4 linked regions of the Tamandua tetradactyla genome follow. The protein of the gene in region 1 purifies or fractionates together with the protein of each later gene. This does not show direct contact. Links are inferred from orthologs where the notes say so. Each region holds a gene or a part of one and is shown on either strand. Other genes may lie near its edges.

The links.
Region 2: the proteins of NAPA (region 1) and STX7 purify together in Homo sapiens (affinity purification with mass spectrometry; 4 studies listed by BioGRID and IntAct, counting the BioPlex papers as one, with this or other methods). This does not show direct contact. The link is inferred for Tamandua tetradactyla from reciprocal best matches to the Homo sapiens genes NAPA and STX7.
Region 3: the proteins of NAPA (region 1) and VTI1B purify together in Homo sapiens (affinity purification with mass spectrometry; 3 studies listed by BioGRID and IntAct, counting the BioPlex papers as one, with this or other methods). This does not show direct contact. The link is inferred for Tamandua tetradactyla from reciprocal best matches to the Homo sapiens genes NAPA and VTI1B.
Region 4: the proteins of NAPA (region 1) and STX5 purify together in Homo sapiens (affinity purification with mass spectrometry; 3 studies listed by BioGRID and IntAct, with this or other methods). This does not show direct contact. The link is inferred for Tamandua tetradactyla from reciprocal best matches to the Homo sapiens genes NAPA and STX5.

The regions. Positions count from the first base shown.
Region 1 is NC_135342.1:13,632,100-13,639,303, reverse strand, and holds the start of NAPA (alpha-soluble NSF attachment protein), read right to left. Parts: upstream 3,003-7,204; 5' UTR 2,846-3,002; coding exon 2,748-2,845; intron 1-2,747. Other genes in the region: ZNF541 (zinc finger protein 541), read right to left, coding at 7,133-7,204. UniProt on the Homo sapiens protein: Required for vesicular transport between the endoplasmic reticulum and the Golgi apparatus. Together with GNA12 promotes CDH5 localization to plasma membrane.
Region 2 is NC_135351.1:32,621,720-32,628,659, reverse strand, and holds the start of STX7 (syntaxin-7), read left to right. Parts: upstream 1-3,917; 5' UTR 3,918-4,497; coding exon 4,498-4,597; intron 4,598-6,940. UniProt on the Homo sapiens protein: May be involved in protein trafficking from the plasma membrane to the early endosome (EE) as well as in homotypic fusion of endocytic organelles. Mediates the endocytic trafficking from early endosomes to late endosomes and lysosomes.
Region 3 is NC_135338.1:25,310,005-25,316,861, reverse strand, and holds the start of VTI1B (vesicle transport through interaction with t-SNAREs homolog 1B), read left to right. Parts: upstream 1-3,835; 5' UTR 3,836-4,260; coding exon 4,261-4,375; intron 4,376-6,857. Other genes in the region: RDH11 (retinol dehydrogenase 11), read left to right, coding at 707-809. UniProt on the Homo sapiens protein: V-SNARE that mediates vesicle transport pathways through interactions with t-SNAREs on the target membrane. These interactions are proposed to mediate aspects of the specificity of vesicle trafficking and to promote fusion of the lipid bilayers.
Region 4 is NC_135335.1:11,753,387-11,760,684, forward strand, and holds the start of STX5 (syntaxin-5), read left to right. Parts: upstream 1-4,279; 5' UTR 4,280-4,429; intron 4,430-4,685; exon of another isoform or gene 4,686-4,809; intron 4,810-5,144; 5' UTR 5,145-5,166; coding exon 5,167-5,391; intron 5,392-6,383; coding exon 6,384-6,454; intron 6,455-6,617; coding exon 6,618-6,673; intron 6,674-6,788; coding exon 6,789-6,859; intron 6,860-7,298. Other genes in the region: WDR74 (WD repeat-containing protein 74), read left to right, coding at 1-36, 155-301, 456-557, 1,993-2,093, 2,180-2,235, 2,567-2,712, 2,855-2,911, 3,165-3,344; TEX54 (testis-expressed protein 54), read left to right, coding at 3,558-3,636, 3,760-3,974. UniProt on the Homo sapiens protein: Mediates endoplasmic reticulum to Golgi transport.

The sequences.
Region 1 (7,204 bases):
CACCTGTCACAGCCGCCACAGCCTCCTGCCTTTACTCTCCTCCATCCCCCATCACTCCTCCCCCCAGCTGCTGCACTCATCTTTCCAAAAGCTGAACAGGAGCCATCCTACTCCTGTTAAATTCCTCAGTGTTCTTCAGCAACTCAAGTCCAGGCTCTTTCTCACAAAGCACTCTGGGACTGGGCCTTGCCCTCTTCCCTATCTCCAGCCTCCCTGCTCTAACCTTACATTCTAATAATATGGAACTCTCTGTAGCTAAACCTTCATTCACTGCCCTTCACACTTCTGAGCCATTGCTCACGCTGTTCCCTCTGCCTGGAGTGCTGTTCCCCCACTAGAACCCTACTTATCCTCCAAGATGGTGCCAGGCTAGCCACTCCTTCACAAGACTTTCCTGGTCCCCTAGTTCCCATCATTCTAGACAGAACCTCCCCTCATATTAGACTTTTCTTGCCCCCACCCCCCACACTATTCCTGCAACCTACCACACCCTCCCAGGCCCCCATTCCTTTAGCAAATCCTAGGGTTTCTTGGGGCCTTGCTCACAAAGAGCCTTCCTCCAGGACATGCCGTTGCCTCCCACTTCAGGAACTTCACTTGCACAACATAATTTAGCCCTCTATTACATCGGACAATCTTGCTTTACTGGATTTGGCAAGCGTTCGTCTTGCTTTCCCAATCAGACTGCATGTGCCTCAAGGGCTCTGACCGGCCTGACTGAGCTGCTCCCACCATGCATAACCCAACAGTACACTGAATTTCAGTCTGAAGGGACCAGACACCCAGAGCCACACAAGGAAAATGACTCACTACCTGAAAATGAGCTCTTGGCCCCACCATCAAACACGGCACTTGAGCTTCAGGGAGGAAAGAAGCAGCAGCACATACATACCTTCTCTCTCTTCTCAGTCTCTAACATCAAAATTCCTCCCCTACAATCCCATCAGCTCTGGATGTTTCTTTGCACTAGGCATCATTGCTCAGATACTTTTTCAAATTAGTTTTGCTAAATATTATTCAATCTTAAATAACAATGGAGGCTCCTTTCACCTTCCCTTCATTTCTTATCAATCTCTGCTGGGTTCCTAACTCAGTCTCTTCCAATTTCCGGGGCCTCCTCCAAATCCCATTATCTAGACTTCTGGAAGATTCTTCCATCCCACAGCCATCCCCAGTCTCTGCCTCTCTCTGGATCCTGAGTCTGTGCCCCGCACCCCACTTCAGTTCTTCTCAACTCTTTACAAACCCACAGTCCCTTTCGCAAGCCTCCTATCAGGTCAGACAGCCTTCTGCTCACCTTTTCAGGTCCTTCCCCCAGCCTTCCCCCTCCCTTCTACTTCCTCTGCCCAGAGCCTCAAGCCCCTCCCCTTAACCCTATTGGATACCCCTGGACCTGAGCCCTTTTTCCACACCATTTCAGCTCTTTTTTCTGCTCTGTCACACAAAGGCTTCTTCATTCTCAGACCGCATCCCCTCAACTCCTCCCAGACCTCTCCCCTCAGGCCCCTACCTCCATCCCCTCCAGTCCTCTCCAGGTTCCAAATCTTAAGCACAGAAATGTTAATAACGCTGGCTAGCACTTCTGGAATTTTAACCACGTGCTAAGCTCAAGTTAAGCACTTTACACATATTGTTATTCAACACTCCAAGGAAACCAATGAGATAGATTTCCCCACACTCCCCTTTAACAGGGAAGTTAAACAATTTACCCAACATCATGAAGTAGCAAAGCCACACTTTGTGACACTCCTAAACCACTCAGATTCCTCAAAAGAGAATCATCAGCATTATTTGTCTGAGCTAACATGAATTTTATGTGAAATGTCTGCCACGCTGTTGGTGTGAGTTGTCCCCCAACATCTTTAAGGCCCCTTTCCTAGTTTGCCAGAGGGATCTTCCTTCTGAATCTTTATTCAACGATCAAACATCGTGTCCTCAGCCCCCTTTTGGTTTTCTCAGTCCCCTTACCTCTTTCACACCTAGAGATCTCCAGCCCCTTGGCCCAGATCTCCCGCCCTGCCTTCAGACTTAACTCCATCACCCCTGGGCCTCCTCCACCCAGGTCCCATTAAGTATAAGACTTTTTAGATTAGTCACCACTAACCAGGCGCATACTCACCCCAGGCATCCTCACACACCTCAGTCTTGAACTCATCACCTCCAAACCACCTTAGCCCCGATCCCCTCGGCCTGGTATCAGATTCCACCAGCCCTCACCCTGTCACCTGGCCCCCGGAAATCCACTACCGGAGGCCTGGGGAAGGTTAACCCCTAGGGCAGGTGATCTCAGTCCGGAGCCCCATAGCGTCCGCCTGGGATCCCGCAAGTAGGCTCTCCCTGCGCTCCGAAAGGCTTCTCAACCTTGCTGCCCTCCCGGCTTCCGCAATCCCTTCAGGCCGAGCCCCCTTCCAGGCCTCAGACTAAAGACTTTCGGCCCAAGGTTTCCTCCCATCCCTTGGCCCGTCTTCAGCCTGGATCCCCTTCGTCGCCTCAAGATGGTGTCACCTCGGCCTGTCTCCCCTCGTACGAGATTCCCTCCGCTGTCTCAGCCTCCCCTCAAACCGCGCTGCACGGCCCGGGGCCCCCTGGCTCTCAGCCTGTGTCCCCTCTGCTGCCTTGGGCCTTATCTCTTATCCCGAATTCCCTCCGTCCCTTCGGCCCGAGTCGTCCGTGCCTCCCCGGCCGCCTCAGGCCGCGCTCCCGTTCTCTCTGCCGAGGTCCCGCCAGCCCCTCGGCCCTGTTCTTACCCAAAGAGGCCGGAGAAGAAGGACTGCGAGTTCTTCACCTTGCGCTCCGCCTCGGCCAGCAGCGCTACCGCCTCCGCTTCCTTCCCCGAATTGTCCATGGCAGCCGCGAAGGGACTCAGCAAACGGCCCGGCCCGGCCCTCGGAGAACTCAGCACCCGCCGCGCCAGGCGGATCGGCGGAGCTCAGCAGGCTGCGTTGACGTCGCACCGGCACGTATCGCCTGCTGCCCGGCGCCATGTGACCCGCGCCGACCAACCAGCGCGACGTGGAGCGCGACGCTCGCCCCGCTGGCCCCGCCCCTGTTAATCGGCGCACGAAGACCCGTGACTCGCAACCACCAGTCGGCGTCCACAGCTTCGGCGCACGCGTACGACACCACCACGTGACACGAGCTAAGCCAATCAGAGCGTCAAGGACCTGCTCGAGAGTGCGGCCTCTCTGGAGCCTCCTCCGCTAATCAGCAACAGCAGCCCTCGCCTGGGGTCCGCCCTGCCTGGGAAACTACGGCACTAGTCAGCTGACCGCCGGGCCTCACGTGACAACCCTACCCCCCCACCCCCAGCCCGGGGCGCACGCCTACGCCCGAGTTTGACAGTTCCCTTGCGCAGAGCTCAGTATTGCCTCAGTGGTGTTACCTCGCGCCATCCTTCTTCGCGTATGTGGTGGAAAATAAACTTTTCTGCCTCTTCTTACGCCCTCTGCCGACTGATGCTGGAACTGGTTTAGTCCTGGGTAACTTTGAGAGCAGAGGTTTCTAAACTCTGCTTGCAAGGGCAATAGTTGGGAGAACGTGTTAAAATTGAGGTTTGAGCACAGCCCATTCAGTCTCCAGATCTTGGTTCCTACTATCATTCTCCCATAGAAGAAACCAGGGGGAGGGAAAGTACACGTAGGCGGAGCATTTTGTAGTGTCCGAAAGTAAGGAAGTGCTAAAAACAAATCACACAAACACGATGTGGGTTTATCAAAGGGCCACATGCACCAACTGAAAGGAGAAGGAGCCTAAGTCCCAACTCTTTAAGTGTGGGCTGCACAAAGTGACTTCCTTTTCAATTATCAACGCGGGGGGGGGGGTGCGGGACAGGACAGCAAGTAACTTTACAGTTGAGAAATGAAGCACTGCATCAGCTAGGTGATGACCAAGGTTAACACAAAGTGATGTCATGTTGCTAGTATATATCTTTGATAAGATGTGATGTAATGGTTCTTCTTTCCCAAAACATTCAACCCTAGTCTAATCACATGAAAAACAACAAATCCCAATTGAGGCACGTTCTATAAAATACCTGATCAGTATTCAAAACTGTTAAGATCATCACAAACAAGGAAATTTGGAGAAACTCACACCCAAGAGGAGCCTAAAGAGACGTGAGTATTAAATGTGATGTGGGATCCTGGAACAGAAAAAGGGCATTAGATTGAAACTAAGGAAATCTGAATGAAGTATGGACTTGAGTTAATAATTATGTATCAATATTGGTTCAATAATTTTAACAAATCTAAACAACAAAAATACCACACCAGTGTAAGATGTTAGAAGAAGAAACTGGCTGTGGGGTATGTGGGAACACTTTGTCCTATTCTCAGTTTTCTCTATAAATCTAAAATTGTTTTGTTTTGTTTTTTTCCTAATCCTGGTTCTAGGGCCCTAAATCCGAAGATTCTGATTCTCAAAGTCTGTGTCAGGGCACAGGAATCTGCATTTTTTTTACAGTCCCCTCCCCTCCATGTGACTCAGATGCAGACCATTGGGAAACCAGTTTGAGAAAACAGTGATCGGGTGGTGGACGGGAGGGCACCGAACACGCTGGGTGAGGCACAAGAAACCGTTGCCCAACTCTTCTTCTTAGATTTTCCTGGACCACCTATTTGTGGTTGCTGTTGCATCCTGACCACAGATCAGGTGGGGGTGGGTCTGCATCACCACAAACAGTTTTGGTTCTGTGTCTGTCAGTGGGGCACTACTCTAAAAGCTTCCACTTGTTTTAAGCTGTTGAGCTTGAGGGTATTTTGTTATGGAGCAACAAATAACTACTATACTCCCTGACTCTTTAAGCTAGGCTTTTGTTTCAAAGTCCAAGGAGCAAGTTTGACTTATTATTTAGGATGGAGTCCAAACGATGATAGTAATGCCATCAGAACTCATCGAAAGTTAGCTGTAAAATTCACATGGGGAACCCTGCAAAATACCTAATCATTTAATGGATACATGGGGATAGGCATTTTTCAATCTCATTTAATGGATACATGGGGATAGGCATTTTTCAATCCGCTTTAGAGGTGAGAAAATGAGGCTTAGACAGGGGAAGTGAGCTGCGTAAGGTCACAAAGAAGGGGAGACAGGATGCATATTCTGGTTCTTCTGATGCCTGAGCCTGGACTGCTTCAAACTTAATTCCTCCTCTACTCCTCCTCCCTCCGAGTCTTGAAAACTCGGCTGAGATATCAGCCCTCTGTGAAACCTGGCACCACCGTCTGCCCTGTTCCCCCTGCCAGATCCTTACACACAGGGCACACCCTTAGAGACCTGGCCAAGCAGTGATGTGCCCTGTCATCTCGGTGGTTGCTCTGCATCTGCTCGGCTGCTCAAGCCCCCAACCCACAGGCCAGCCTTGATCCTATCCTTTTCCTCACTACCTCTTCAATTTCCAAGTCTGTGCAGTCCACCTGCAAAATGCACCCCTAACCCACACGTTTCTTTGCCTCATCACTGCTACCACCCAACCTGGTACATTGCATCTTTTACCTTGGAGGCGTCTATCTACTCCCCCGATGTCCACTCTTGCCTCCTACAACCCATCTTCCACAGCAGTCAGAGAAATTTCTTCAGGCAGTTTGTCAGTTGTCACTTCCTACTTAACACCTCCTCTGGTCTCTAGCCGCAGAGAGTGCACTCTGCCCTTCTGCAGCCTGGGATCCAGATCCCAACTCAGCAGGCCCCTCAGTGAGGCCTTCTCTAGCTGTCCCACTAACACTGCCTGCCGCACTCTGGTCCTCTCCTAGGACTTGGCCCCTCCTTCACCTCCTTCATGTCACTTGGTGGGAGGACACTGTGGTCTGCCTGCCCAGTAGCCATTTCCATGTCCTTCTCTTCTCCTGGCTAAGAGACTTCCAGTTTTGTTCAGGTGGCAATAAACTTGAGGGCATACATTGGTCTTCCTTGGTCCCCGAGACAACCCTTGAGTGGTCCAAGGAAACAGTGATCATTTCTGCTCCATATGCCCGGGAGGAGTTTAGAAATGAGCACAGGCTATGGTTCCGGCTGATGAGACACAAGAGGCAGGCTGCTGGGAGCTTATGCAAGTTTTCCTTTCTTAACAAGAGAAACTAGGAAGGAAGGGATATGTTCTTTATCTGTGAACCTCCAACGATATGGATATTATTGTGGGAGGAGTTGAATCTTGTCTCTGCTGCAGTCTTGACTTTGTGGGTAGAGCCACGGGAGCCATACACCCTGACTGCTCACACTTACAACGACAGTCTTGGTGCTGTGGCCAAAAGCAGACCCACCCTTGAGATCTTAAATCGCCTCGTTCGCATCTCTGTTACTGTTATCTCCCTCCTAGAACGTGAGCTCTCTGAAGAAGGGGGCCCTGTTCCTCCTGAGTCACCACAACCCCATACCTGGGCTGGGCAATGTCTGGCCCACGCTACAGTAGGCGCTTAATGAATGTACAAATTAATCTGCCTGTTCCCTCCCCTCTGCCTCCCAAGGCTACCAGCTCCTCTGGGACACGAACCCATCTTACTCATCTCTGTGGCCCTGGAATGAGGCAGGGATGCAAAAGCCTTTGTGGGATCAACAGGCCAGGGAAGTCAGAAGACAGCTGCTCAAGAACCCAATTTAATAAGATTTACAAGTAGACACGTAAAAAAAAAAAAACCCTAACAATGTACAAGTCGTTGCAAGATTAGGGACTGAATCCTGAGTGCAGAGAGACCACCTACTTAGGGAGGCCCCAACATGCTGGGGGAGATCTGAAGGTATTTTCCCACTGATTCTCTAAATCTTGGCCTTATCTAACAAATATAACCAAACCCCAAAAGTGAGGCTAAGACTTAAGAGCTACCCAGATCTAACTTTTTCCCCTCCCCAAGTCTCCCAGCTCCAGGAGGAGTGGAAGCAAAAGGCAGGGAGAGACGATTAACATAAAAAGAATGGCACTTCTGGCACCCCCATGACAGGGACTTCACAAATGCCGGGTGACTGTGTGCTCCTCCGGCGGATCGATGGCCATGTGCCCAGCGTGGGACAATGCAGAGTGGGGGCAGCGAGGCAGGGCCAGCACCTTGGCAAGGTCTCCTCTTGGACAGACTACAGGGAGACGAGAGGCCTGGAGACCCCTCCCCCCCGTCTAGCCCAGCAGGCTGCCGCAGGGTGGGGCTCACCACTGCAGGGCACCGATGCCGGGCCCTGCCCCCTCCCCATCCTCCTCCTCCAGCTGGAAGGGCTTCAC
Region 2 (6,940 bases), on another chromosome or scaffold:
AGTTGTGGATGATGAATGTGGTTAATAGTACTGTTCTAGTTTGCTAGCTGCTGGAATGCAATATACCAGAAATGGAATGGCTTTTAAAAAGGGGAATTTAATGAGTTGCTAGTTTACAGTTCTAAGGCCGAGAAAATGTCCCGATTAAAACAAGTCTATAGAAATATCCAATCTAAGGCATCCAGGGAAAGATACCTTGGTTCAAGAAGGCCAGTGAAGTTCAGGGTTCCTCTCTCAAGTGAGAAGGCACATGGCGAACACAGTCAGGACTTCTGTCAGCTGGAAGGGCACATGGCGAACACAGCGTCATCTGCTGGCTTTCTCTCCTGGCTTCCTATTTCGTGAAGCTCCCCGGGAGGTGTCTTCCTTCTTCATCTCCAAAGGTCGCTGGCTGGTGGACTCTGTTTTGTAGTGTTGCTCTCTCTGAATCTCTCTGAATCTCTCATTCTCCAAAATGTTTCCTCTTTTTATAGGACTTCAGAAACTAATCAAGACCCACTCAAATGGGTGGAGACATGTCATACCCTAATCCAGTTTAACAACCATTCTTAACTAAATCACATCAACCAGGGAGATGATCTCATTACAGTTTCAAATGTACAGTATTGAATAGGGATTATTCTACCTTTAAGAAATGGGACTTATATTAAAACATGGCTTTTCTTAGGGGACATGCTTCCTTTCAAACCAGCACAAGTACAAATACAAGAATGTTCTTCCATGAATTAGAACAATACATGTCAAAACTGCAAGATGTTGGTAATAGGGTGGTACATGGGAAAAAAATTTACCTAATGCAAATTATAGTCTGTTAATAGTAGCATAATGTTCCTCCATCTATTGTGTAGCAAAGGTACGCACTGAAGCTGAGTGTCATTAATGGCGGAGGGGGGAGATAAGGGATATAGGGTTTTCTTTTGGGAACTATGAACTATGAAAATGTTCTCAAATTGATTGTGGTAATGTAAGTACAGCTCTGTGATTATACTGAGTGCTATTGATTGTACACTTTGGATGGACTATATGGTGTATGAATAAAACTGTATTAAAAAAAAGGCTAAAATATAATCCACAGAATGGGAGAAGATATTTGACAATAATCTGATAAAGGTCTTGTATCTAAAATACATGTAGAAGTTATACAAGTCAGTAATAAAAAGACCAATGAGCCAAGGATCTGAATAGACATTTCTCCCAAAAAGATACACAAATGGCCAAGAAGCACATGAAAAAAAAGCTCAGCATCATTAGCCACCAGGGAAGTGCAAATCACAATTGCAGTATGTACCACTCCACAATCACTAGGATGACTATAATCAGAAAGACAGGTAATAGCAAGTGTTGGTGAGAATGTGGAGCAATTTAAACCTTTATACATTGGTGAAAATATAAAATGACACAGCCACTTTGAAAAACTGGCAGTTCTTCAAAAGATTAAACTAAGCATAGAATTGCAATACAAGCCAGCAACTCCACTTCCAGGTATCTACCCAAGAGAAATGAAAATGTGTCTGTATCTATATGTCCACATAAAAACTTGTACATGAATGTGTATAGTAGCATTATTCCTAATGGCCAGAAAGTAAAAATAACCTGTGTCCATCAATAGGTGAATGAATAAATAAAAGAAATGTTGTCTGTCTATCTAATAGAATATTATTCAGTGGTAGAAAGGGACTAAGTACTCTTCTGTGCTACAAAGTGGATGAACCTTGCAAATATGGTAACAAAAGACCATGTATTTTAGGATTCCATTTATGTGAAATGTCCAGATTAGACAAATCTATAAAGGCATACAGTAGATGCAGAGATTCAGAGTCGCCTAGGATTAGGAAGTTGGGGATAAATGGGGAATGACTACTAATGGATACAGGTTTTCTTTTTGGGGTGATGAAAATATTCTAAAATTGATTGTGGTAGTTGTTTGGGGAGGGGGTCCCAAAGCACCCAGTAGAAAAATGGACCCATGGAACAAGGAAGGGAAATACAGAGCAGCCTAACCTCCCAGGTTTTCCAGGCCAGCTTGACACATTCCACCATGCACCACTGGAACCAGTACTTCCTGCCAGGACTGACACATAGGACAAAGCACATATTTCATTGTGGCCTTTTCTCTCCTACAAGAAATATATAGTGGCTTCTTGTTGCAACCTAAGCCAACTAAACCCGGCATCTGGGGCCCTCTCTCTGTGACCTTGGCTTTGTGTGAGGAGCTTTGAAATCAGTACTGTGAAGTGGCTCTCACCTCCACCTTGTGCTGGTCGAGTTACCTTGGACAAGTTATTTAATCTTTATCAACCACAGTTTACTCACCATTAAAACAAAGATAATGCTACTGACTTTAAGGGGAGTTTGTGAAAATTAAATTAGATGTCTATGTCAGATGCTTATCACTTGGCAGACGTGTAATAAATGTTAGGTTGTTCCTCTCTTCCCAGCCAGGAATCATCCGATCCAGAGTTGGCCTGGGGCCTCCCCTTCCTGTGGTAATCACCTTCCCCCACACTCTGGGTCCCTTGGCTCCAGGCACCCTGACCTTGCTTTGTGTTCTCTATACCAGTCATAGCCAGACATCCAGAGCCTATATTTCTGGGTTTTAAACCTTTTCAGGCAAGGGTAATAGTGATGAGTCCCTGTCACTTTTGCCTAGCCCTTGGCCTTTTACTGCTTTGTGTTGTTTTTTGTTGTTTTACCTTAAATCTGTCTTCTAAATTGCAAACTTGATTTGAACACTTTATATCTTTATTTTCACTTTCTTTGGATCTTCCCAGTGCTTAGTTTAATGCTGGTCATGGATTAGGCTCTGAGGGAGCTGACTTGGCAGCTGACCACCAACTACTGCAGTAGCCTCTGCGCACTCAGTGGAGCAAGCAGGGTCATTGAAGCTCTAGGAGTGCAGTCCCCTAGTCAAGGTGCAGTCCTTTTTTCTGCCTTCCAAACCCTGAGAAGGTAGGGTGGATTGAAGAAGGAAAGAACCTCATCTTGTCTCCTTCCAGTAGCAGTATCCCAGCTTGGCTTCTGATCCTAAGACGCTGTTTCTAGAAGAGGGGGGCCCTCCTTTCTCCTTTCTCTGTTGGGAAGTGTACTGAGCATTTATTGAACGTTCTTTCTCTTCCAGCAGATGGCTCTGCTATCTCAGATTTGACCTTTCCCATTACGAGAACCCCTAGTCCCGTGTTCCCGAGCTCCCTACTTTAACGATCCTTGAACTGGATATACCGTTTTCTTAAAAAATCCTCCTCTTTCCTTGAGCAGAGGAAAGAAATGTGTGTGTGTTGTGTATGTGGATTAAGTTAGATTTAATGAAATTTCTGGGGATAACCTGAATTCTGTGTTCATCTAACAAATGTTGAAGTGCCTGATCTATGCCAGGAATTGTCCTAAATGTTGGAGAAAGAAAGCTAAGCATCATGCAGCTCATCTTATATTTGCTTTTAATTTCATCAAGGAGAAATTATCTGAACAATTAAAATTCTACCCAGAAACCAGACTTAGTAAACCTGTCTTGGAGAGCTGCTCAAGGAAGTTTTTAAAAGAGAATGTGCAGCTTGAACGTTATTTTAATTGTTTAACATGTTTAACATGACTGTCTAATGACCAGTTTTTTTCTCTAGACATGAGAATTTTGCTGCTTGATTTTGACCCTGTTCAGTTAATCAAGTTTATAATCTCCCAGATTGATAATTTGGAAGATGTAAACCAGTAACATTAAAAATACAATTTGACTTTTCTTTTTATGTTATTTAGGTCATTGCTTAGAGAAACTTCTGTACGGCCCCCCAGCATCTGATGAAATTAGTGAATAAGCCAGTCAACCATGTCTTACACTCCGGGAATTGGTGGGGACCCTGCCCAGCTGGCCCAGCGCATCTCTTCCAACATCCAGAAGATCACACAGTGCTGTGAGTTGATTTTTAAATGACTTCCTTGTTTGTTTTTAATTTTTAACTGAAATTGGTGAAGGTTCATAAATAGGCAAGTGTAGTGCTGAGGGAGGGAGCAGCACACCATTGGCAAGAAAGGAGACCAAGAGGCTTACTTCAATGGATGAAGCAGGTATACTGTGCTAGGAAAGATAAGCTGTATTTAGTAAGAGGATGTCTTGAGTTGAGAGTCATCTTCTCTGGAATGACAGTACTCAGGCTACAGAAGCACCAAGTAAAGATTGAGGGGTTGCAGATTGTGTATGAACTTGAGCTGGAAAGAAGGAAGGGTTAGCTGAAACCAGGCTGCACTCCCTGAGAAAGTGATCAGTTGGTCCAACTAGATGAGAAGTGATAAGTTGGGGTAGAGTTGAATATTCATGGCATGTTGTGACAGCTTGTATGAGATGACATCACAATCTGGGGCAGCTTTGGTGTGTGGGAAGATGAAGATTCACCACTGTCCTGCATGAAGCGCTGTAGAGCAGGCTGGGAGCACTCTGCCAACAGGAGCTTCGATCACTGCCTTCTGATATCTGTGTACTGTCATTTGTGAAACAGAACTGTGTCCTGCATGGACTTAAAGGCCTCCACAGTTGAACAGAAGCTGCAGAGAAGGAAGTGTTTTTTAATCTTCCCAGTTGTTGGGGGTGGAATTACCTGGCTCAGGAGAGGTGAGATTTCTGTTACTAAAGTGACTAATATTATAGAATAGCCAGGTAATTCTTAGGTCTGTAATTAAGAATTTTAAATATTGGCATTATGGTTCAGAATAAATGTCCTTAATTTTGAGACTCTATTTTATCCATTCAACAAGCATTTTATTGAGCACCTCCTATTTGCTGAGCAGTACCCCACACATTGGGAGTACAGTAGTAAACAAGTTCCACAAGGCCCTGCTCTCATTTTATGTACAGTAAAGTGAGGAGAAACAGATAGTAAACAATTAATGAACAGCACAGTTTCCTTAGAAGAAAATGAAGTGGAGATAATGTGGAAGTGAGTGAGTGGGGGAACTGCCTGCGCTTAGTTGGGCCCCTGAATGAGGGTGAGAAAGGCTGGTGGTGAGAAGACAAAGAGAAAGGGCATTTCTGATGGAGTAAATAACTAGTATTAAAAACATTAAAACAGAACAAAGCTGGGGCGTTCAGAGACAGAAAGGCCAGTGTGGCCAGAGAACAAACCAGAGGGGCCGGAGATGGCAAGAGAGGAGCCTGGGGCCCATTATTGTGGGAGTGTGGGGAGTTTGTGCTTGATTTTTTGAGGCAATGGAAATCTAGCAGCAGGTTTTAACTAGGGCAGGGAGGAGAGTTTTGTTTTATCTGAATAAATTTTGAAATGCCTTTTAGACATCTAAGTCAGATATCTAGCTTAGATATGTGAATTTGCATTCAGGTGTCATCAGAGTATTAATGGTATTGAAAACCACAAGTCTAAGATAATCACAAGAGCAGGAGTGTTAAAGATGGTAGAATTCAAAGAGTCAGAAGGAAGCCAGCAAAATGAATCTGAGAAGATGTGACCAGTAAGGTAGGAAGAAAATCAGGGATTTCTGGGAATCAAAAAGTGAGGGTGTTTCAAAAGTAGGTGAGGCATCATCTGGGTCTTGCTGCTGAGAGGCAAAGGTAGAAGCAGAGAGTTAGATTTGGAAAATTGAGATCACTGGTGACTTTGAAAAGAGTGGTCTCAGAGCCATGTTCCAAGAGATTTCTCAGAATTCCACCCACCTCTGCTTCTGCTCTTGGCCGGATCCAGTCACATAGGAACACCTAGCTGCAAAGAGGCCTGAAAATATCTTATAGCTGGATTGCAATGTGCTCACTAAAGTGAGGATTTGCTTCATTTGAGTGAAAAGGGAAGAATCAGCATTTCTTAGGCAACTAGCAGATTCTACCTAGGAGGTGGAAGGAGGGTCAGAGAAAGGATTGTATTTTCTACCACGAAAGGGAAATACTATAATGTTTGTGTTTAGTGAAAATGACCCAAAAGAAAGGGAGAAGTTAGGAAAACAAAAAAAAAGTGAGCGTTTCATTGTGAAAGGAATGTCATTGAAGGTGAGAAGGGGCAAGGAATAATGGAAAACAAATGAGTGGTTCACCTTTCATCCCTCTACAGAGGTGAGGCAGAGGATGGGGGGCAAGAGTTTTTGTGCCAACAGGTCCAGTTTAGTCATTGGACAGAGAATGAGAGGGAGGGACATTGAAAGTTTACAGGAGAGGAGAAAGTGGAGAAGTCAAATCACGTGTAGATTTGATTATTGAGAGAGCTAACAGATCGAGGAAGCAGAGAAGGTTCTTGGCAGGTTGTGTATTCATTTAAGATTTAGTATTGTGAATTTAGTGAAGCCAGTCAGCACTGGGTATTTTTTCTGATTCTGAGACAGTGTCTAGATGAATGGAAGGTTAGCTATAGATAAAGTTATTGTTAAAACTATCACCCACCATTCCAGCGTGCATCACTGGTAAGTGATTTGCAGAACTCAGGTGGAAGTGAAAGGCAGATACAAAATTTCAGTTCATTTTTTCTCCCCTTTAGTGATGCTAATAATAGTGGATATGATTGAATGAAATGACACTTTGCACCGCATTTGGTTCTTCTCTTCACACTACATTTGCGTTTTTAAAATTTGTGTACAAATTAGTAGATTTTACAAAAGAAATCTTGGCATGATACTGTAATATCATACCCTTAGAGTTAGAATATGTGCATCTCTTCACCTAAAGCTAAAGTCTTGCTGAGTAATGCAAAAGTCTTGCTGAGTAATGCATTGGGCAAGTGTTATTTTCTTACTAGATTTCATTAAGATAAGTGAAAACTTGTAATACGTTGAATTGTATTACTTTATACGAAAAAGAAACTAGCAATCAGAAAGAATTTTGATTCTTGGAAAAGTCCAAGAATAACAATATTTAAAGTTGAAATTTTGTTTTCTTTTACTAGTATTATATATTGAACGTTCTTTGTTTGCAAAGAAAAAGGTAAATAAAACAAGGTTATTTTTAAACTTAAGTATTTCT
Region 3 (6,857 bases), on another chromosome or scaffold:
TCTTTCAGACTGGAGATTGTGGTGATGTGGCTTGTCTGGACATGCATTACAATGCGCATTTTGCATTTTATGCCACACATGACTGAATGCATGTTTTTTTTTTTAACTTTTCCTTTCTTTAGTTGTTTTTGAAGCTGGTTTTACTTACACTAGCCACAAAATAGTTTTAAATGCAGATAGACCAGAAAAGAAATGCTTTTTCCTACTCTAAGCACCCATGACCAATGCAAACAGCAGGATTTCAGCTGTGTGACACTGTATACGGCCAAGGTCCTGTAATACGCACCTTATAGACTTATTTGAACAAGCTGACACAGGTGTCAGACAGGCACTGATATTACACTTACATCCATCCATACAAAGAGGATTATAAAGACTAAACGATGGCGGCCACGGTGGCTCAGCAAGCAGAGTTCTTGCCTGCCATGCCAGAGACCCGGATTCATTTCCCGGTGCCTGCCCATGCAAAAAAAAAAGAAAAAGACTAAATGGTACACACTGTATATCAGACAAAGTGGTATGATCAGAGGAGGTCTAGGAAGAGGTCTAAAAACACTATACTTTCTGTGGGATACAGATTGGATCCTGTGAAGCAACTAGAAGATATGTTATCTCTGGGTTGTTTTTCTGTCATATCCCCTATCCCAGACAGAGAACAGATTTAATCCTGAGCCCTGTGCATTAAGCCCCCCTCTTTCCCTTCTAGTGACTGTCATGTGGCCTGGGTCTCTGCTCAGGCTCGTAATGAGACGATAGCAAGACGGCTGTGGGATGTCAGCTGTGACCTGCTCAGCATTCCAGTGGATTGACAGGTGGTGGCCGCCAGACCCAAAAGAAGACTGCAGGAGTCTGCTTACCACTCCCTACCAAACTGACTCTCCTTCAGGGCAGCCAGAAAGGAGCAAAATCTTCCAGCCTTGCCTGCTTGGTATTCAGTAAAAGGCCAGTACACTGCCAGATTCATCTAAATGCCTTTCATTTGTCCAGATCTATTTTATTCCTGTTACTGCCAGAATTACTAGAATATAGAATATGAAAACCCTCATATGACTTGCACAGATCATATTTTCTCCCCAAAACCTAATGCATAGGAGGAGCCAAGCTATGGTAGGGTTGATTTATGGGAATTTGGACTAGTTACTTTCCTCTTTATTCACCATGTATTTCCTGCCACCCAACCTTCTTGACTTTAAGAGGACCACACTTGCAGCCTCATCTAAACTCCAGGAATCACAGTGACTTGGCTCAAGAGCAGAGTTCCTCTTTCACTTCTTTAAGAAAACCCTCACAGCACCAATATCTGGATTCTTTCAGAAAACTCTTAACTGACTCTGGACTATGGCTCTGCCTTATCTTTGACAAGCCAGAGTCACTTTGTTAAGACACTTTCAGGTCTAGACTATAGAAGAGCTTCCTTTTGTAAGTAGTCTGTGGGGTTTGGTTTTAACTGTGGGAGGGAGGCAGAAATAAACATCAAGTTCAGAGTGTCATTTTCCTGCTGTTTCTCAGATCAGCAAGCAGGGGGCATGAAGAGAGCAGTATGATGGCCACCTGACTTCAGTTACTGACCCAGTACTCAGCAAGGCTTCCTTTTTTTGTGCCCTTAGCTTCTCAGAAAACCAGAAGAAGGGAAAGGCTGTTTGTCATTGGGCTTATCTTTGTGTGTTTTCTTGTGTATCTCTTCAGTTGGGAATATTTTCAGAAAATTCAAAACAGCCACAAAGGAGGAGTATTAAACTGGACCTCCATGCAGGGTCCACATCAGAGATGGAGCAGACCAGTGTCAGTGTCATTCCGTCTTTGATGCACATGGGTAGAGCTGCTAACGGATGCAGACTCTGCATTTGTTGATAACTTCCCACCAAGAAGCTATCCATATGGATAGCAGAGAAGTCCAAAAAAGGGAAGAATCCTGGGAGATATAAAGCATGCAATGAAGGAACTAGTTGAGGATTTATAAAAAAGACACAAAACGTCTAAAGACAGGAAAAGCTATAGCAGAATTGAGGGTAAGCACTGAATCACCTAGACTGATGAGACCCTTATTGGTTAACAAGAACCAATCGACCAAGGTGGCGGGCAAAAAAAAAAAAAAAAAATCCCAATTCTTTACTCAGAATAATTATCCTAAGGACTGACTTTCAGTAATTACATTCAATTTAATAACCTTTCAAGGCATTTCTTTATATTATCTTGACAATGCTAAAATGTCTATTTGGTAAAAATCTGTATTTTATTTGGAGGACTTTTAATAAAAGTAATGCAAAAAAATAAAAATAAATAAAGGGCAGTGCAATGGTGGCTCTAATGCTGCCAGAGGAAATCAGAGAAATTGGTAATGTTTCATCACTTGTTTACAGTACATTATTCTATCAGAGTCTGAGATTTTCTTGAACTGGCAATTTATATGTTTAACTTTGGTAGGGAAAACAGTAATAGGACCACAGTCTCCACTTCTCATAATTGTAAATTAATAATCTTTTGTTGAGATTGTTTTGACCATTGAAGTGTATATTTAGAAATGGTCATATTATGGAAAATAGGAAATCTTTTGTTTTGATGATAATGCAGTAGAATAGCTGAATTAATACTTTATTACTTGATTTAAATTGAATGTCAGTGACAAATAAAAGTCTTTTTGATTATGTTTTTACTTACCAATTTAAAAAGTATAAGAATTCAACAAAGGTTTAATTATATGGTCAAAAGAAGAAAATACTTTTCATTATTACAGTTATTCATTAATTCCTCATTCTAAAGAATGATTTTCCCTGTCTAGCTGCAGTCCAGTTTCAGTTCAAATGACATTAATTTGGGTTTTGTGATAATTTGATTATTCATTCACCTAATTCCTACTTATCTTCTATGACACTGTTCAGATACCACCTTTTCCCATGTTTCTTGTTTATTCCAGGCTATCTCTCCTTTTTATATCTGCTCCTTTACTTCCATAACACAGTCCTATGGGACTTATATCAGTTCACTGCCACTAACCCCAGACTTTGTTATTTCTGTATTCTCAGTGTCTGTTAGTAACTCAACAAGGGCTTGTTGACTCAACTGTCAGCGAACTCAATCTGACAAAAATAAAGGTCTAAGAGATAGAAAGCACTAAAAAGAATATTCATATACTTTTTCATATGTGTAGGCAGTTTAAATATTGGGCTTCCAAGCAAACATTTCAGTTTAGACAAATGGTGAGGTCAGTGAAAATAGGAATTTTCTTCCATTAACCATTACACTAAGTATTTACACCCATGGCGTGCAGGAAATGACTAAATTGTTAACACATTGCATCCAGTGGTAGGTAGCCAGGTCTGCCTTCTCTACCTGATTATAAATTACCCCGGGACAGAGAGTAAAATTGTTTTATTCACCATCATATCCACATCCCGGCACAATGCCTATAACAAGCCCCTGTAGAGTGAATGAATGCAATGCACGAGGCAACCTCATGCATTACGCGAGCCGGACTGCTAGAGGCTAAGAGTGTGAACTTTGGGGTCACACTGCCTGGCTTCCACTTCTGAAAGCGTGTGACCCGTGGCCACCTGACCTACCCAGTATAAGCGCTTTACCCGCCCATGGGCAAGTAGGAACCCGGCCCGACTACCTTTCGAAAACGGAAAGTTAAGGTATGAGTCAAGACATGCACTGAGGGGGTCAAGGCATATCTTGATACCAAACCACTGCACGTCAGCGGCGACCCCGAGCAGCCGCGGTGCTGACGGAACCACCCACTCCGCGGAACGCGTGACTCCCGTCATCCGCGCCGAACTACAACTCCCGGCCTGCACTGCAGCGCGCGCCCTTCGCCAAGCCCGCGGGGCCTCGGAGGGAGGCGGCCGTGCTGCCGGGTCTGCGGCTTCCTTCCCATCTTTCCGCTTTGGCGCCCCAGCCAATCCCAGGCCGGGTATTTCCGGGCCCGGAGGACCGCAGCTCACCCCAGCGCGGCGCCGCTCCTCCATCAACCCTTCGGCTGCGCATCTGGCCTGATTTTCTGTCAGGCGTTCGCACTCGACGCTTCCGGGGCGACGCGAGAGAAAGAGAGAGAGAGAGAGAAAGGGAGAGAGAGAAAAGGGGCGGGAGAAATGGGCGTTCCAGCCTGAAAGGACCCCGCTGCCGGCCCCGGAAGCGCCTCGCCTAGGCGGTGGCGGGGGTCGTCGTGATGCTGGCCGGCCAAGGCGGCTGACTGCCGGGCTAGGAGCAGATTCCCGAGGCCAGAATCTCGGCGGCCACAGCCGAAGTGCGGCCTGCGCCATGGCCACCTCCGCGGTCTCCTCGGAGCATTTCGAGAAGTTGCATGAAATCTTCCGCGGCCTACTTGAAGATTTACGAGGAGTGCCGGAGCGGCTGCTGGGGACAGCGGGGACCGGTGAGGCGAGGGCTGGCCGGGATGTGGGAAACTGGGCTCCTCGCGCTCTGGGAAGAAGAGCCCCGACCCTCCTCCCAGACCCAGGCTTTTCTCTCCCTGTTCCTCATCTTCAGACGCGCCACAGGGCTGGCTAGGTTCCGTAGCCAGGATCTCCCCGCCGCCACTTCGACTGGGCTGAAGACTCAGGGAGGGACCTCGGGGTGTCGTCTCCCAGGGATCTTCCCTTTTGATCTTCTCGTGGCCCTCTCAAAATTTTCTTGTCTCATTTTTTCGTCATGGCAGAAAGAGCACAAGGGTTCTTAAATCTTTTGTAGACTTATGTAATTTATTTTGTGCATTTAAAAGCATCGCAAACTGGTGTTTAAATGTCAAGAGACATTGGGTTGAAAACTCAAAAAGGAATCATTACTTTGAGATTCAAAAATTTGTTAAGAGTTGGTAAACACTAGCGTGGTAGGGGAGATTTTAAAATCAGGATTGTGGTCTTGAGGTGAGGTCCTGTTGTGAAGTTTCTTGCTGCTTCCTGCCTCTTGAGTTCAAGCTTCAGGTTGTTGCAAGCTCTGCCTAGAGCTACGTTTTTTCATTTAAATCTGTAGGAAATCCTGTCATAGCTTCTTGGCTCTTGCTGAATAGATCTGTATGGCAACGAGAACAAGACTTTGAGTTTGCTCTCTGAATTACCAAGGACATGTGAATTGAGTGACTAGTGAGAATGAAATTCATATATATTTTTTTAAACAAATATTAGAAGACTGCTATGTGCCAGGCACTGTCCTAGATACAGTATCACAGTGAAAAAGACATGCAAATCTCCATTCCAGAGGGCGGATGACAAACAATATTTAAGTATTAAGAGGAGTTGTTAAGGGCTATACAGAAAAATAAAGCCCTGTAAAGAAGTAGAGTGAGGGAGGCACCAGTTTTAAATAGGGTGGCTGGAAAAGGTCTTTCTGAGGAGGGGGGTATTTGAACAGAGACTTGAATGAAGTGAGGGAGTAAATCATGCATGAATCTGGTAGTAGGGTTAGGAGGAGGGACTAGCACTGCAAAGGCCCGTAAGTAGAAATGGGTTTGGTATGTTCAAGGAAGAGCAGTAGGGCCAGTGCATTCCATGTGGAGTTGGCAGAAGGAAGAGTGGTGGTAGATGAAACTGGAGAGAGATGGCCCAGACCATATGGGGTCTTGTAGACCATGATAAAAGATTTGCATCGTCTTCTAAATGGGATTCATTTAAAGGATATTCAGCAGTAGAGACCAGGATCTGATTTATATGGTTGAAAAAAAGACTGCGGTTTCAGCCTGGCACTGAATTAAGTTCTGCGACATCCATTTCTTTAATGCTAAATAATACAAAAGGGTATTCCATTTTGAAAAATAGAAACCTGAGTTATATTCATCTTTGTCATCTACTTAACATTCTTCCCATTCTTGCAAAGAATCTAGTGAAAAGATGTGCAGTGGTGCTCAAGCCCAAAGTACGCTGACATAAATTGCATGTAATGGGCTTAATTAATTAATGGCTAATGTATACTATATATACATTCTCAGGGCTATAATAAAACTTAATCTCATTTTTCACTGTCTTGTCTGTACTTGTCTTTCAATAAATGCTGAATAAATCGAATTTAATTAAGCAAACACTCTGGGCCTCTTTTCCAAATCCTTCTTTCCTGATTCTGAGACCACTTCATAAACTTTTCAGAGATTTAATTCTCACTGTGAGTTGGTAGATACTGTGTAATGTCTATAACTCAGCCCTTGCATTTAGCTTATGATCTGTAGCTGAATTCAGTTATTTTTCAGTTAACATTTATTGAGAATTACATGCGGCAGTCACTTTCCTGGGCCCTGAGAACTCCTAAGAGTTCTTGCCTTAAAGGGAAGCAAATTTACAACAACGTGTATGATGCATCCTAAAATAAAGTTCTCTAAGACCATTAAAAACAACTACCTTAAGCATGGGAGAGGGAGGGCAAAGTTTTACACTTGGAGTTGAGTCTAAGGGAAGGAGTAGGTGTTTGCTAGACAGAGGGGAAATGGGAAAAGGCAACAAAAGAATTAAAAATTGGATACTTCCAACTATAAGTGGCTTCAGGTGTGTGGGGGAGAGTAGTAGGAGATGGGGAAAGTGAGGTAAAGCCACATTGTCAGGAGTCCTAAGTGTCACATTAAGATCCTGGGACATGATATGGAGAATCAGTAAAGGATTTTAAGCAGGTGATACGGAGTGAGGGAGAAAAATTCAAGGGTGTCTGTGTTATCTCACTTGGCCAATAGAATGAATGATGAACTTAAAAAAGAAATAGGAGAAACAGACTTGTTGGGGCTGTGGTAACTCAAGGCTGGGTGTAGAATAGAGATCATAATGTATCCCTTTCAACCTGACAAGATATTTCTTCTCCTGCCATTTAAAATAATACTTATGAAAAACATATTATATCCCCCTATTCTATATTATTGACAGCACTTTCCAACATGAGAA
Region 4 (7,298 bases), on another chromosome or scaffold:
TGGAGTGACAATGACAAGGAGGAGTCATCTGACCCAGTAAGGACCCCTGCCCTGATGGTTGAGGAAAGTGGGGCCGGGGGTAGGGGCCTGATGAGGGCTTTAGTGAGGGAGAGTGTTGAGGTCTGTAGGACTGATTCTCATTTCTCCTTTTCAGCTCCTGGAACTGACGGTTGGCTCCGGGGTGTGCAGGATGCGCCAAAACCCAGAATACCTCCACATGGTTGCCACAGGTGGGAAGGAGAATGCGTTGAAGGTGTGGGACCTGCAGGGTTCTGAGGAACCTGTGTTCAGGGCCAAGAACGTGAGTAACAGGGCTGGCTCTGAGGTCCAGAGAGGCTGAGGCCACTGACCTTGAGTGAGAGATCAGATGGGCTTTAGGGGTAATGAAGGAGGGCTGAATGTGGGGGCCACACTTGGCCCTCACAGCCCCACCCCCCATAAACTCCTCCTACCAGGTGCGAAACGATTGGCTTGATCTTCGTGTTCCCATCTGGGACCAGGACATACTGTTCCTTCCTGGGTCGCAGAAGCTTGCCACCTGTACAGGGTACCACCAGGTGAGGCACCACCCCACCCATTCTCCTGGGCCTAAGTAGCTTCCTGGAGAAATGGCTTAGCTATACAGGCTCAGTCCCCCCGGTTTGGCACGGGAGCATCTCCCTTAAACTTTCCAGCCCTACTACTGAACAAGTGACCTTCCCTTATTGCATTCTGATGTGGAATTTTCTGAACTAGGGCTCTTCCTTCCCTCCTGCTTGGAAGAGTGGAGAGCTGAAAGGAATGTTCCCTTCATACTTGGATCCGCAGGGTGCAGGTGTCATGAGAGGATCTTGGGCTGGGTGCCAATGGAACTGAGTTTCAGTCCTGATGCTGCCTCTGATTTGCTTTGGGAGTCAAGCCTGACCCTTGCCTCTAGCCCTAGGTCCCCACTTGTACAGAAAGGGCTGTACTAGGAAACTTTATGACTCGTCTCATTTGAAGTCCTGCTTTTTTGCCTTGTCTCCTTCATTCCCACACATTGAAGTCAGATCTTTGCGGTGATATGCTCTGCTCAAAACACGTATGAAGGATGCACAGGTGGTTGAGTGGTACAATGCTTGCCTGCCATGTGGGAGACCTGGGTTCGATTCCCGGCCCATGCACCCAAGAACAAAACAACAAAAACACACACGAAGCTTTCATCTCTCTTTCCTTACTCAAGCTAAACTTCTCTGCCTGAAATTCAAGACTTGTGACAATTGAACCATCTGATCCACCCCCACCCCCCCACATACATACACACTCTCTCAATTAGGGGATGCGTGGCAGAATACTCACACTTGCAGACCATTGGAATGCTGCTATACACACACACACCCACCACAACCTGGGAGACCTGTCCCCTCAACCTTGTCCATGCACATTCCTAAGCAAACCCACCCCCGCTCCTCCTACACTCGGATTTCCTGTTTGATGGGCAGACTAAGGGAATACAGACTGTGAGAATGTTCCCAGGATGCCCCCTGCCCATCCACTGGGGAGTTTCTGGACTTAGTCCTATCTTCTGTGTTCTTGTACCCCTCCCCCATTACCCTTCTGGCTGCTCTGATCACATCTAGTTCTGCCCTCCCTGTAGATGTTCTGAGAGCATGAGGCCAGGATACCTGGTGACTTTGGACAAGTCACCGCCCTGTCTGTGAGGAGCTCGAACTAGAAGAGCCTAGGTCCTTTCTGGAATATGGGAGGGCAGAGACTGCATCACCATGTTTCCAGCACTGCCTAGCAGAGTGCTGGTCTGAGAACAGGTTAGGAACATATGTGTACCTTTGAGAGCCTCAGTTTGCTCAGTCTCATCTTCACAGGTTTGTCTGGCCATCACATGGGGAAGTTGTTCTGAGAGTGTGTCATAAACATGAAGGCAGTGCTTAAAGGGGGGCTGGGGTGAGGATGTGGAGAGGGCTGATGGTTGTGCAGGGTGAAGGTTTCATGAGTGATGCTGCAGTCTTCCTCCAGATCCGTGTCTATGATCCAGCCTGCCCTCAGCGGCGGCCAGTCCTGGAGGCCACCTATGGAGAATATCCGCTGACAGCGATGACCCTTACTCCTGGGAACAAGTGAGTGAGTGTGAGAGAAGAGATGGGTGGCTCAGGAAGGACTGCAGGCAGTTCCTGCTGACACCACCTGTCTCTGGTCTCCTCAGCTCAGTGATTGTGGGAAATACTCATGGGCAGCTGGCGGAAATTGACCTTCGGCAAGGTGAGTCAACCAGGGGGTCCTTGGGAAAGGGGGTTAGCATGGGGAAGAAGGGCACGATTCCCGCTGAAGCAGTGAAGTGGAGTAGTTGTGAGCCCTCGTTCAGGTGCCAGATTGCCTGGGTTCAAACCCTGGTTTCACCAAAAGCTGAAAGACCCCAAGCAGAATGTTTCAGTGCTGCACCTTTGTTTCCTGCCCATGGAGACATGAATGGTAACTCTCATCTCAGCATTATGTTGAGGATGTAATGTTGACATGTAAAGTGACGAGAGCATTCAACACCCACCAAGTGGTGTTGACCCGCCAGCAAGCACTGATGCTTCCCCTCTTCCAGGGCGCCTGCTGGGCTGTCTGAAAGGACTGGCAGGCAGTGTCCGAGGCTTGCAGTGCCACCCTTCAAAGCCCCTCCTAGCCTCCTGTAGCCTGGACCGAGTCTTGAGGGTACACAGAATCCAGAACCCACGGGGCCTAGAACATAAGGTGAGAGCCATCCCACTGGACCTCATCCCCTACACACATACCCACCCTGCCTGACCCTGGAGCCCCCAACTTCCTATGCTTTCCATTCCTGTGTCCAGCACTTCAGCATGTTAGGTTCTTTAAGGTCTCTCATCTTTTGCAGGTTTATCTCAAGTCTCGGCTGAACTGCCTCCTCCTTTCAGGCAGGGACAACTGGGAGGTGAGCAGCTGGGTCAGGGAATGTGGGATTCAAGGGCTTCGATGTGAGGTTTTCTCCATGGAGAGATAAAGGTGGCAGCTGGATTGCAGACCGCCAAGTTAAAAGTTAGATAGTCCTGACACGGTTATTACTAAAGGTGCCATTCCTAAGAGCAGGGATGGGAATGACATCCTAGAGCAGGAAAGAAAGCTGGGATTATTTCCCAGCTAGGACCTCCTTGTGGGTCTCTGTAAGCTTTCCCCCCATTCACCAGGATGAGCCCCAAGAGCCTCAAGAGTCCAACAAGGTGGCCCCAGAAGACCTAGAGACAGATGAACTTTGGGCTTCCTTGGAAGCCGCTGCTAAGCGGAAGCTCCCGGATGTGGGGCAGAGCCAAGGGGCCCCCCAAACCAGACGGAGAAAGAAGAAGCGGCCTGGGTCTACCAGCCCCTGAAGATGGGGTACCCATTTTGTAAATAAACACCTCAATCCCCACCATGACCTGGAGCCTTTTGTGATGGGGGAAATGAGGGGATGAATGGCTTGGGCTGGGGACTCCTGGAGCCGGGGCGGCAGGACCGCTGACGTCACAAAAGCCGGGCAAGGGCCAAAGACCTGCGGGTGGGCGGGTTGGGGGGGTGGTACGGAGTGCCGGCCACGCGGGGCCATGGGCTGCTGCCAAGACAAGGACTTTCAGACTTCCAGTGATCAGGCCAGGAACGGCGACTCCATGGAAGGCGGGACAGGTGGGCCCGGAGACGCAGGAAGGGAGCCCGGGGAGCGGGGCAGGGGGCAGCCGCCTTGGGATCACTAAGGGAGTGGGACCGGTGAGGGCAGAGCGCAGCTCAGAGGCATCGTCGTCTCCACAGGCTTCGAAGGGAGCGATACGGACTCCCCGCGCCACCGGAAGCGCAAGTCGAACGAAAGCCTTCTGATCACCGTGCTGTGGCGGCGGCTGTCCCTGTTCAGCCGTCGGGGCTCGGCACGGTCGAATAAGAGGCAGTCAGTCCTCAGTCAAAGGCACGAGATTCCGAACCTGGGGATCAACCAGGAGGTGATCCAGGAGGAGCCGGAGAAGGGGTAACCCCATTCCTACTCTCAATCCGTCCCATCCTCCAGAGAATAAAATTTCGAACGTGGACCTTCGCGAGCGTTTGTGCCTCTGCTGCGGGCTCTGGGAACACCGCGCGGGCACCAGCCGGGCTGCGGGTTCTTTAAGGCTCTTCCCCGGAGGCTAGCCCAGCCCCCCCCCCCCCCGGGGGCTCCGGCACCCGCGCCTCAGGGGCGGGGTCACGGTGTCGGCCTGGCCAATCGGAAGGCGACGGCGCACGGGCGCTTGGTTGGGGGGCGTGCCTCCCAGGTCGCCCAGCCCCCAAAAGGCGTGGCGCCGCGTTCTCGTCACCGGGGGCGGGGTTACGCGCGGGTGACGTGGCGGCTTCTAGCTCCGGTCGGGTTTCGGCGGCTTCGGCCCCCACGGAGGTGGCGGTGACGGCCTGGGAGATTGTGGCAGTGGCGGCGGCGGCAGGCGGCAGAAAGGAGGTAGGATTTCTCTCTAAGAGAGGATCTGGCTGCCGGGGCAGCTCCGGGTCCGAGGGCGGCGACGGGCGGGGGCGGGGGGAGGGGAACCCGGGGGCCGAGAACCCGGGGGCCAGCGGCTAGGTCCTGCCGACCCGGCTGGGGCTGAGCGAATACCTGGTGGTCCAATCAGAAAAGCACCTATCGAGACAGACGTCGGCATTAGCAAATCAGTGGTTGCAGCCTTCCAGAAGGCGGAACCCAGCGAGGGGTGGGTGGGACTTCCTGTTTCAAATAAACACCTAGAGGTTTTCCCCCTTCGTCCACCGAAGTGTGTCCCCTTCTGAGGGCTGGTCGCCGTTTTTCTGTGAGGAGTCAAGGAGCCTAGGACAGGAGAGGTCCCGGTTAGGGCCTGGCACACCTCTGCGGGCTGGGCTGGAGCCTCAGAGCCTGGGGACCTGCCTCTTGGCCCTGTCTCTGTCTCTGCTTCAGGGCCCCCAGCCCCACGCTCTGGTCGCCAGAGTCGAGTTGAAAGAGTCTGAGGAGGGGACAGCTTGGGCCGGGTGGGAAGTGGGGCCCTTGCCTCTGCGAGCCGGCCCCAGGATCTACGAGTGGCCTTGTGGTTTAAAATGCTTGCCAGGTTCAGAAGGAGCCGGAGGATTTGTTGGTTGGGGGTGGGGGGTGGGGGTCATTTATGGAAGAGGTGGCTCCCTGGAGAATGACTCCTTTCCCTCCACAGCAGTCCGAGGTTATGCGTCTCAATGATCCCCCGGAAACGCTACGGGTCTAAGAACACGGATCAGGGTGTCTACCTGGGTCTCTCAAAGACACAGATCTTGTCTCCTGCAACTGCTGGAAGTAGCAGCAGCGACATCACCCCTCTGCCCCCCCCAGTGGCCCTGATCCCTCCCCTTTCTGACACCATGTCCTGCCGGGACCGGACCCAGGAGTTCTTGTCTGCCTGCAAGTCCCTTCAAAGCCATCAGGTAAGAACCTGGAGTGGAAAAGATCAGGGGTAAGCCTTATTTCTGAATGGGGCTGTGCTCCAACACTATTAACTAAAGTCATTCTTGTGGGAAGCTGATGGACAGCTCCTAATAAGGCTTGGATGGAACAGTAGGGTCTGCTAAGAAACAGAGGTTAGCAGGCGGGGGCTTAGACTTTTTTGAGAAGAACCTCCCTGATGATAGGGTTGCTATTATGGGGGGAATACCTCAGGGCCAGAGGTGCCTGCAATATACTTGGTTTGGCCAAAGAACAGATTCTAGACGGAACTTTTAGCTAGCAGTCATATACCTTGAACTCAAGTTCTGGCCTAGTTCTGCCACAGTTTTCCTTTGTGACTATGGGAAAGTTAATTAATCTAGTTGGGCCTCAATTTTTCTAAAATTGAGTGTCTAAAATTGAGTGTCTAAAATGAGGGAAGCTTTCTTAATCACTTTAGAGTGCTTGAAAAAACATTGTCTCAGTCCGGCTCTGAATCTCGGTGGGACTTGGGTGACCATTTTTAAATATTTTCTGTGTCCAGCTCTGGCTAACAACTGCTCTCCTATGTGATTTCCAGGGGCTTTCTAGTTGTGATACTCTTTGAGTCCCTGATTTGAGGAATAGAATGGCAATACTTGCTACCATTTACTTAGTACCTTACAGTGAGTGAGTTACATATTTGACTTAAGAGCTTTACAGCACTTTCTGTAGCAGCAAAAGAAGGTAGAAGGATTGTCTTCGCTACATAAAAGAGAAAGTAGAAACTCAGAATGTTAAAGTAACATGACCAAAGTCCTTCATCTAGTAAGTACTAGAACCCCAGTCTATGTGTCTTCAAATCGGGGTTCTGTACTACTGCTGATAAATCTGGATTGGCCAGCCGGGGACCTGAGCTCTACTAAGAGAGTTTAGTGGACAACCTGAGGAACACTGAAAGCTGGAAGTGGGGGAAGGGGAGCTAAGGTTGTCACCTCCTGACATTGCTTTTCAGAATGGAATCCAGACAAATAAACCGGCTCTGCGTGCTGTCCGGCAGCGAAGTGAATTCACACTCATGGCCAAGTGAGTTGAGAAACCATCTGCTGGGGTGATGTGTCTGAGGAAAAGTGGGTTTGTCTTTGGTGGCCTTGTCTGTGAGGGTTGGGGTTAGTTGCGCTGGAGCTAATATGGAGTTAGGCCCTCTCCTACCCATTTCCGCAGTGTTTTCACTAATGCTTGTTTGTAGGCGCATTGGGAAAGATCTCAGCAACACATTTGCCAAGCTGGAGAAGCTGACAATCTGTGAGTGTTTTTCTTGGGGTCTTTCCAAGGTGGGGCAGTGAACCAAAGAGGGCTCAGGAACTTTACTCCCTGAGCCCTGTCTTTGACCTGTTGTTCCTTCTCATTGTCTCTGCAGTGGCAAAGCGCAAGTCTCTCTTTGATGATAAAGCAGTGGAAATCGAGGAGCTAACATATATCATCAAACAGGTGAACTTCTATCCATCAGGAGAGCCCAGCAATCCAGTTAAACCACTTTCATCATTATCCATTGCATAGAAGCTCAGAGTACATTTCTAGAGCTACCTCCACGCGTCTACTGACACTGTAGACACTTATTGATTACCTGTTATGTATGAAGCACTGTGCGGGACTGTTGACACAACATGAGGCAGGACTCCTGCTGTCAAGGGCTTATTGTCTCGAAGAAGTTACCAGCCCCGTAAATATACTATGAGTATATTTATGAGTAGGAGGCAAGTGGTACAGAAAAGATCTTACGAAAAGTTGAATACTACAGCTGGGAAAGATTTCAGAAAGGAAATGAAATGTGAGTAGTTTTCAAGTCTTGTAAGAAAAATGGAAGGACAATCCAGTCAGAGGAAGCAGCATGTGCAGAGGTATAGATTGAAAAGGGAAAGTTCAAGAT